Bombyx mori: one gene and its partner. The protein of the gene in region 1 binds, or shares a complex with, the protein of each later gene. Links are inferred from orthologs where the notes say so. Each region holds a gene or a part of one and is shown in the gene's direction. Other genes may lie near its edges.

What was found.
Region 2: GATOR2 complex protein MIOS (region 1) and sec13-like protein share a complex: the UniProt entries of both Drosophila melanogaster proteins name them as parts of the GATOR complex. The link is inferred for Bombyx mori from reciprocal best matches to the Drosophila melanogaster genes mio and Nup44A.

Annotation. Positions count from the first base shown.
Region 1 is NC_085114.1:15,836,361-15,840,011, reverse strand, and holds part of GATOR2 complex protein MIOS, read left to right. Parts: intron 1-1,328; coding exon 1,329-1,530; intron 1,531-2,596; coding exon 2,597-2,796; intron 2,797-3,507; coding exon 3,508-3,580; 3' UTR 3,581-3,651. UniProt on the Drosophila melanogaster protein: An essential component of the GATOR subcomplex GATOR2 which functions as an activator of the amino acid-sensing branch of the mTORC1 signaling pathway.
Region 2 is NC_085125.1:13,431,545-13,435,854, forward strand, and holds the start of sec13-like protein, read left to right. Parts: upstream 1-1,364; 5' UTR 1,365-1,411; coding exon 1,412-1,546; intron 1,547-1,726; coding exon 1,727-1,883; intron 1,884-2,695; coding exon 2,696-2,849; intron 2,850-3,273; coding exon 3,274-3,381; intron 3,382-3,702; coding exon 3,703-3,819; intron 3,820-4,310. UniProt on the Drosophila melanogaster protein: Probable component of the nuclear pore complex (NPC). Involved in maintaining the localization of another nucleoporin Mgtor to the nuclear envelope of early meiotic female germline cells.

The DNA of each region.
Region 1 (3,651 bases):
GCCCTGCCCCACACCGACCCACATCAACTATCATAGTATCATAGATTTTTACTAATTGATTGAACATTTCTACGGCTTGACCCCACCGCTAGCAAAAGAGGCATTAAATTGTGATTTGTATATACCTAATTCAATACGTAGACGCGCCGTGCGTTCATGGTAGTGTCAAATTATTTTATTACATTCTTGTATAACAGTGCACTTGTAGTGCGCGCGGAAACGCTGGTCATCTCCTGAGGTATGTAGCGGGGTGAGACGGGGGAGAGCGCGATTGACAAGACGCACACGATATTATATTAAGTGCAGATAAATCTCAGAATAACATATTAGAATTAATGTAATGGGTGCCTAATTCTAATATTGTATTTTTCTATTTCCTGGTTAAACAAAAAATGCATATTCAAAAGTGTTTATTATATTTTATTACGAAACAAAACAATTTTATAAGCAAATGAACATTTCTTAAAAAGAAAAAAAAAAAACTATCACCATTATAGTACATTATAAAAAAATAATTATTTATTTATCTATTTTGATTTTTTTACCAACAAAAATTTATGAATTTTCCATCGTAATACCCCCATGTCGAAATCATCAATGTAGATTCTCTTTTTTATTTTTTTAGGTTTTCATGGAGAAGTAAATTTTGATTTTTCCGATGTTTGCCGATTCGAATTTACTTCAGCTACAATTCTAATTACGGTCTGAGAAAAAAAATTGTGCACATTGTAAATTACATTTTACACTGATCGTGTTATTGGTGGACCCATCTTAGGATATTTTATCTCGTGTATGTTTGGAACAAACTGGCAAGAACAACTGTATCGTACAACCGCCGCGGTGGTCGACGGCAGACTGAGTTAGCTTGACGTTTGTCTACCTCGCCCGCCCTGCCGCTCGCATACAGCAGGCGGTGACTAGCCCTTCCGCGCACACTATAGTTAATGGAAAATTTGGTTTTCATTTATTGAACAGTTTTACAGTTTGACCCCACCGTTAGCAACAGGGACATTAAAGTGGTACCCGCAAAATATGTGAATGTGTGGAATCATTTATGCTGTCGACCTTGCGTCGACGTCTCCAGAAGACTGCATATACGGGCGCCGGTGACCACTTAACATCAGATGGGCTCACAAAAAAGAGTTTATAATTTTCTCAGTCACAAGCGATTATTGGAGCAGACGGGTAGGACAGGCTGCCGCACCGCGTGCTCGGTGTCGTGCGCGGGCTGTCGAGGACTATAGACTCGTTGAGACAGGACGGCACTCCGGCAGCAGCAGTGCAGTCTTGTGAAGAGAGTAATGCGAAGTGTTGTGTGTAACGGGCAGCTACCGCGGGCTGCTGGACGGCTGGCGGCTGTGGTGGGCTCGCTGCGCGCTGGACACGTGGGTGTGCGGGGGCAGCGCCGCGGCCGCCGTGCGCCACGTGTGCGTGGCCTGCACCTACTGCGGCAAGTCCGTGGCGGCGGCCGCGGGGGCCCGGCCTCGCCCGCCGCTCGCGCGCCTTCCGCCGCCCGCCGCCAAGATGAAGGTAAATACAACATTCCCCCGCGACCTACATACTTCATATAGTGATGAAATGCTACGTTACCGGTACCTCCGCCCCCCCCCCCCCCTGCCGCGAAGTAGTAATACGTTCCGATTCGAAGAGTGGGGTAGCAGTTCTACTATAGAACTGAACTTCACAACTCATATCTCAAGCTGGGTGGCGGCATCTTTGTTATTGATGTCTATGGGTTCAGAAACACTCGTGAGCAATGAGAAAAAAAAACGTTAACTTCTTATATTAATTAGTTATAAACATTTTAAATCAATTATTGTCAATCCCAAATCAAAAAACCCAGATCGAACTTATAACTATTGTTAACGAGGCTTCTTGAAATTACACGCGGCAGCAAATTGTTTGTTATGGCCGCGCGTGTTTTTTTCTTAAATCACGGAGGCTTCTTGGTGATGGACGCGCCAACAAAATTGTATGAAGTGGGCGCGCGTGATCGCACGGCCGGTCGGCGGCGGAATGAAATGGCGCGCGTCCCGCGGCACGTGGAGGGGGGGGGGGGCGGCAGCGCCTCGTTCGTTAACAACTATCGTTTAAGGCTTCGTCAAACAGAACACGTTCTTAACGCGGCGTTTTAACGTCGCGCTCTTTTCATGTCACACAAATTGACTAGACGAGCCCAACGCTCCTTGACGCAACATAACGCCAAATTATAGTGCCTTTCGATAGCAGTGTGAAAATTAAAAAGTTTCAAGATGTCGAGTGATTCAGATGTGGCATTGTATAAACATGGATATTTCCTAACTAATTCTATCAATTTTTCGGGCATTATCCAGTATTTTAATATACATTCACTCGGACGCTAAAATAAAATTTGTAAAAAATTACAATGCCTGACGTCAAAGCGTCCTAACGCCGCGACAGAGCTTTGCGTACTGCTAGCGCTGGGGCTCTGTTTGACGGTATGTTACCATAGTAGTAGTACAGCACATCTCGGCGTCATAGCGTAGCGCTCTGATGCGCGCTAATTACGCGTTCTGTTTGACGAAGCCTTAAGACGTTTCCGAGAAGGTTCCGAGCAGGGGGCGCGATGTTTCAGCAAATCTCGTCGTGCCCGAACTGCCGCAAGCCGCTGCCGCGCTGCGCCGTGTGCTCGCTGCATCTGGGCACGGGCGCGGGGGGCGGTGCGGGGGGCGCGGCGGGCGGCGGCGCTGGGGGCGCGGCCTTCCCCCGCTGGTTCAGCTGGTGCGTGGCCTGCAGGCACGGGGGCCACGCCGCGCACCTCATGGACTGGTTCAAGTACGTGCCGCCCGCTCCCGTGCGCTCTCTGTCTAATGTTCTCCGTTTCCGAACAAGTATTATAAACTTATATATTTAAGTCGTCGTGGCCTAAAAGATAAGACATCTGGTGCATTCGTATGTAGCGATGCGATGGTGTTCGAATCCCGCAGGTGGGTACCAGTTTTTCTAATAAAATACATACTGAACAAATATTCACGATTGACTTCCATAGTGAAGGAATAACATCATGTAATAAAAATTAAACCCGCAAAATTATAATTTACGTAATTACTGGTAGTAGGACCTCTTGTGAGTCCGCGCGGGTAGGTACCACCGCCCCGCCTATTTCTGCCGTGAAGCAGTAGCGTTCCGGCTTGAAGGGTGGGGCAGCCGTTGTAACTATATTGAAACTAGAACTCATCTCAAAATGGGTGACAGCATTTACGTTGTAGATGTCTATGGGCTCCGGAAACCACTTATCACCAGGTGGGCCGTGAGCTCGTCCAGACCCCTAAGCTATAAAAAAAAATAAAAAAATTCAGATTAAAAAAAAAAAAAAGTTTTTATGACACCGAAACTGACAATAAGATGATATTGTTTTTGCCCTGCTGCTGCCATCGGGCTCAGGACGTTAGAGCGAAGTTATAGAATGAATATAAATAAAATATAATGAGAGTGACACAGCTCCCAACATGCGGAGCGCGTGCCAATGAGTCCCGTGTGCTGCAGGGAGCACGCGGAGTGCCCGGTCAGCTCCTGCAACTGCCGCTGCAGCACCCTGGACCCCCCCCACCGCCTGTAGCGCGCCCCGGGGGACCGACTATCTACTGAACACACGTTTTTCTTTGGTGATATTTTTTGTTTATTTCATCT
Region 2 (4,310 bases), on another chromosome or scaffold:
ATTATCATTGAACACTTAAAGTGTGTAGTAAATTAAAAAAAAATACGTAATTGTCTATTTGACAAATTGGTCAAGTTATTGGAGATCTGTTTAATGAAAATTATCACACTCATAATTAGTTAATCATATACAAATTTTGCATCTATCTAAATTGTTCTGTTTTCGTGTTTATTTTGACAATAATGTTAATAATTGATGTATTTTTGTGTATGAATTTGTTATATTTATAAATAATATTAGCTTCCTTGTTAATCTATGTAATTAAATTAGCTAGTACACTACTAATTTTATTAAATGCCTATAATTTTTAATTGTTTTTTTTTTCAAAGTATATCATGAGCCTTTTCACACATCTATAGATCTTAGTGTAGGAATGGTAGGTAATAAATACGACATCGATGTTGGGAGAAAAACATGGTAAGGCGGGTACTAACGTCTAACGAAAGACCACTGTTATTTACAGCATTGGTCTTCCGTCGTGTGGGGTACGAACTGCTTGAATTGCTTCCCTTTTATAAATTATATATTATAAATTATTATTATCTATGCTGTTTTCATTCATGGACTGAGGCTCTTTAACAAGTTTTCCCAAGTTACCACAAGTTTCTCCCATTTAATCTACATGGGTGCCACTCCGGGAAGGACCGCTTAATTGCTGGGGATGAGATTAAATCCTTTATCGATATCCTGTAAAACAATTGTGGTGACCTAAAGAATAAGATGGACAGACAGACACAAATGAACGAGTTTTTGGCGGAAACGCCAGGACCGAAGTTGTGTGTATTGTTTTTTATTTAATTTAGTGTTTCTTCAGGCTTAAAGGCTTCGTCAAACAGAAAGCGTAATTAGTGCGCGTCAGAGCGCTACGCTATGACGCCGAGATGTGTTGTACTACTATACTATGAGCGCTATAGCGCTGGCGCTCTGTTTGACGGTATAATACCGTAGTAGTACAATACATCTCGGCGTCATAGCGCGGCGTTAGTTTAGCGCTCTGACGCGCGCTAAGTACGCGTTCTGTTTGACGAAGGCTTAAACGTGTAGTAATGGTGCTTTAATTACTGTTTTGCATCCGTAAAAGCGCATGTGGGAAAATGAAACAGTCGCTTGACATGGCTTTTCGGACTCTTCCAAAAAGTCCACTAAAGTCTCTTTAAATAACTGTCATTTTACTGTGACTTTATTTCATCCCATCTCACCTCATTTTATTTAATTTCATCCATATAATCTTTCCCTTTACGTTGTTTTTCATTTAACAGAATATAAAAAAAAATTGTCTGTATGAAGTGATACTTTCGCCTTTCATATTGAAAAATGGAATTATTACTGTCATTAATGTCATTTTCTGTTAATTTGAGGTTATAAATTGGGATTAATGTAACGGAAAAAACACTGTTAGTTCATAATAACAATGAGTGAAAACATAGCTACGAACCTTTTCGAGGCCCAAACGATACATGCCGATCACAAAGACCTTATTCACGATGTCGCGTACGACTTCTACGGGGAGAGAATGGCCACTTGTTCCAGTGATCAATACGTAAAGGTACATTCTTTATATTATTTTTAATTAGAGTACGTACCTTTGTTTTACGTACGTATAGTTGTAAAACGTGGTAAAATGAAATTTTTTTAGTCTTCTGGTAATTCACGAAAGCTTTGTTGCTTCGTAGTAATAAGCAATCGTGAAAGTTAATAATTTGGAATATGTTATTTTTTATCTTAGATATGGGACACAGACGGGCATGGAGGCTGGCGGATGACAGCGAGCTGGAAGGCTCATCACGGCTCTGTTTGGAAAGTTACATGGGCCCACCCAGAGTTTGGACAGGTCATTGCGACTTGCTCCTTTGATAGAACAGCTGCTATTTGGGAGGAAGTGGGTATGTGGAACCATTTGTTCATACCATTTAGCATTAAATTTATTACTTTTTCTAGATGAGTTGTTTTATAATATATTTTATGTATAATTAGCTGACCTGGCAGACTTCGTAGTGCCTCAATCAATAAATAAACTAAACTTTTGTATAAAATAAACCTAAAACAAAAAAAGGAATCCTTCCGGCGGGGGACATATTAAAGGAAAACAAAATTGTTATTTTTATTTAATTCTGAGCATTTTTATATTTAGCTACCTTTTAAACTTTCTCTGGACCTCTACAAATAATACAATACCAAAATTAGCCAAATCGGTCCAACCATTCTCGAGTTTTAGCGAGACGAACGAACAGCAATTCATTTTTATATATATAGATTATAGTATATTCTTGTAAGTTTTAGCCACAATTTACCCATTTTTTGCAGAATGTAAGGTGTAGGGTGCCTGCTTTTCATAGTTTTGCATCATGGTACATTCAATGTACTTCTGAAAGCTTTCATTAGTTTTTTGTGTTTGGGTAGACAGACTGAGATCTTAGATCCCATATCACTTAACATGAGGTGGGCTGTGAGCTCGTCCACCCACCTAAGCAATAAAAAAATTACATTCTAGGAAACCTAGCTTGGAAGTTGCAAAATAATATAAATTTTAACAGACATAAAGTGTGAAAAACTGTGACCAAAGAATGGCCTATTTAGTCATCACTAGCACCATCACTAGTCATGCAGAGATATACACAAGCCAAGTGCAGAATAGTAGGAGTATATAGTTCAAAATGATTGGTTCAAATAAATATGTATTCAATATTGTATTCAGGTGACACCACAGCAACAGGCTCTGAAAAGAGTTTACGTACATGGCTGAAGCGGTCAAACCTCGTTGATTCAAGAACTTCAGTAACAGATGTTAAATTTGGACCTAAACATTTAGGTCTACTACTAGTTACATGCTCAGCTGATGGCATTATAAGGTATTATGTTGATCCATAACACTACACATCAGTAAAACCTCCTGGTACTACTTATTTCAAGCATAAACTGATAGCTACTACCACCCTGCCTATTTCTGCAATGAAACAGTCTCGTTTTCTAATTTGTAGGCTGTTTTACTAGATGGTTAAGAATTTGGGTCTAAATGTGAGTGATGATTTATGTAACAATATTGGCAGCTACTAATGTAATCTAAGCTGTAAGCATTACCTGGTTTTCTACATTTTCAACAATTAAATTCAGCTAATTACCATTTTTCATTTGAATTAATTCTGTGTCGTTCTAGATAAATAGTTGACCTCAGAATCCACATAAGGCTATGTTGTTACTGGTATAGCAATACTGCTCTTCATCTTCTCACTTTAATCTGTTTGAAGCGAAAACAACATTCTGTTTGATTTACAGAATATATGAGGCTCCGGATGTGATGAATTTGGCACAATGGACCCTCCAGCACGAGATACCGACGAAAGTTTCAATTAGTTGTTTATCATGGAACCCTTCATTGTCTAGGTAGGTATGTATTTTTATTATAATTGGATGTAGCAAATAGCCCATCTGATCGTAACTGGATATAGTCACTTATGGACAACAAGTAGTCAACAACAACAGTCAACAACAACAACAACAATAATAACGTGTAGTCAACAAAGAGCTCTTTTAAGTCCCCAGATACTCATAAAACAGCAGGGAATTTAGTTTAGAGGTTGAAAGTGAGAGTAAGAGAGAGTTTTTGGGAGCAAATTGTGTTTTTACTGTGTAAAATAAAACTGTTCTGTTGGCTTGTATTAGTGACTTTTTTATAATATCTTCAATATTGCATTTTTTTTCTAGGGTAGGAAACCCACCAATGTTGGCAGTAGGCAGCGATGAACCTAACACAACAAATGCCTTAGCATCAGTACCATCTGATAAGAGCACAGCTTGTAATGGAAAAGTTTTTATTTATGAGTAAGTATTAATTTATATGTTGTAATCCATGTATTAAATATACACTTTTACTTTTATATGTAAATATCTAAAATACTTATTACTTGAAATAATGATAATTCTAGACAGTGACTTGGATGTGCCCCTGCCATTGACAATGTCTACTGTTAGCAGTGATTTAAAACTATCAGTTTTTGTATTGTATTTGTAGTGAATGTAAACATTTGGCTTCATTCATTTACTTGATAGATTTGCAAATTTTTATAGTTGTCTATAGCCCAGGGAAGATTTTTGTCATAGTTTGGAGAGTATACGACAAAAGGAAGATATTCAACCGAGCGGGTGACAGACAGTCCGAATGTTGATGTTCAGAACTTGTATATATGCAAGTTCCATTCCCGATCCTGCGGACAGAATGGAAAGCAGTCGACGTCGCCCCAAACACGTCATTTCGGATCCTCCCGATCCACTAACGGTGCTTTTAGGTACCTCAAGCACCGGTCATTGTTCTC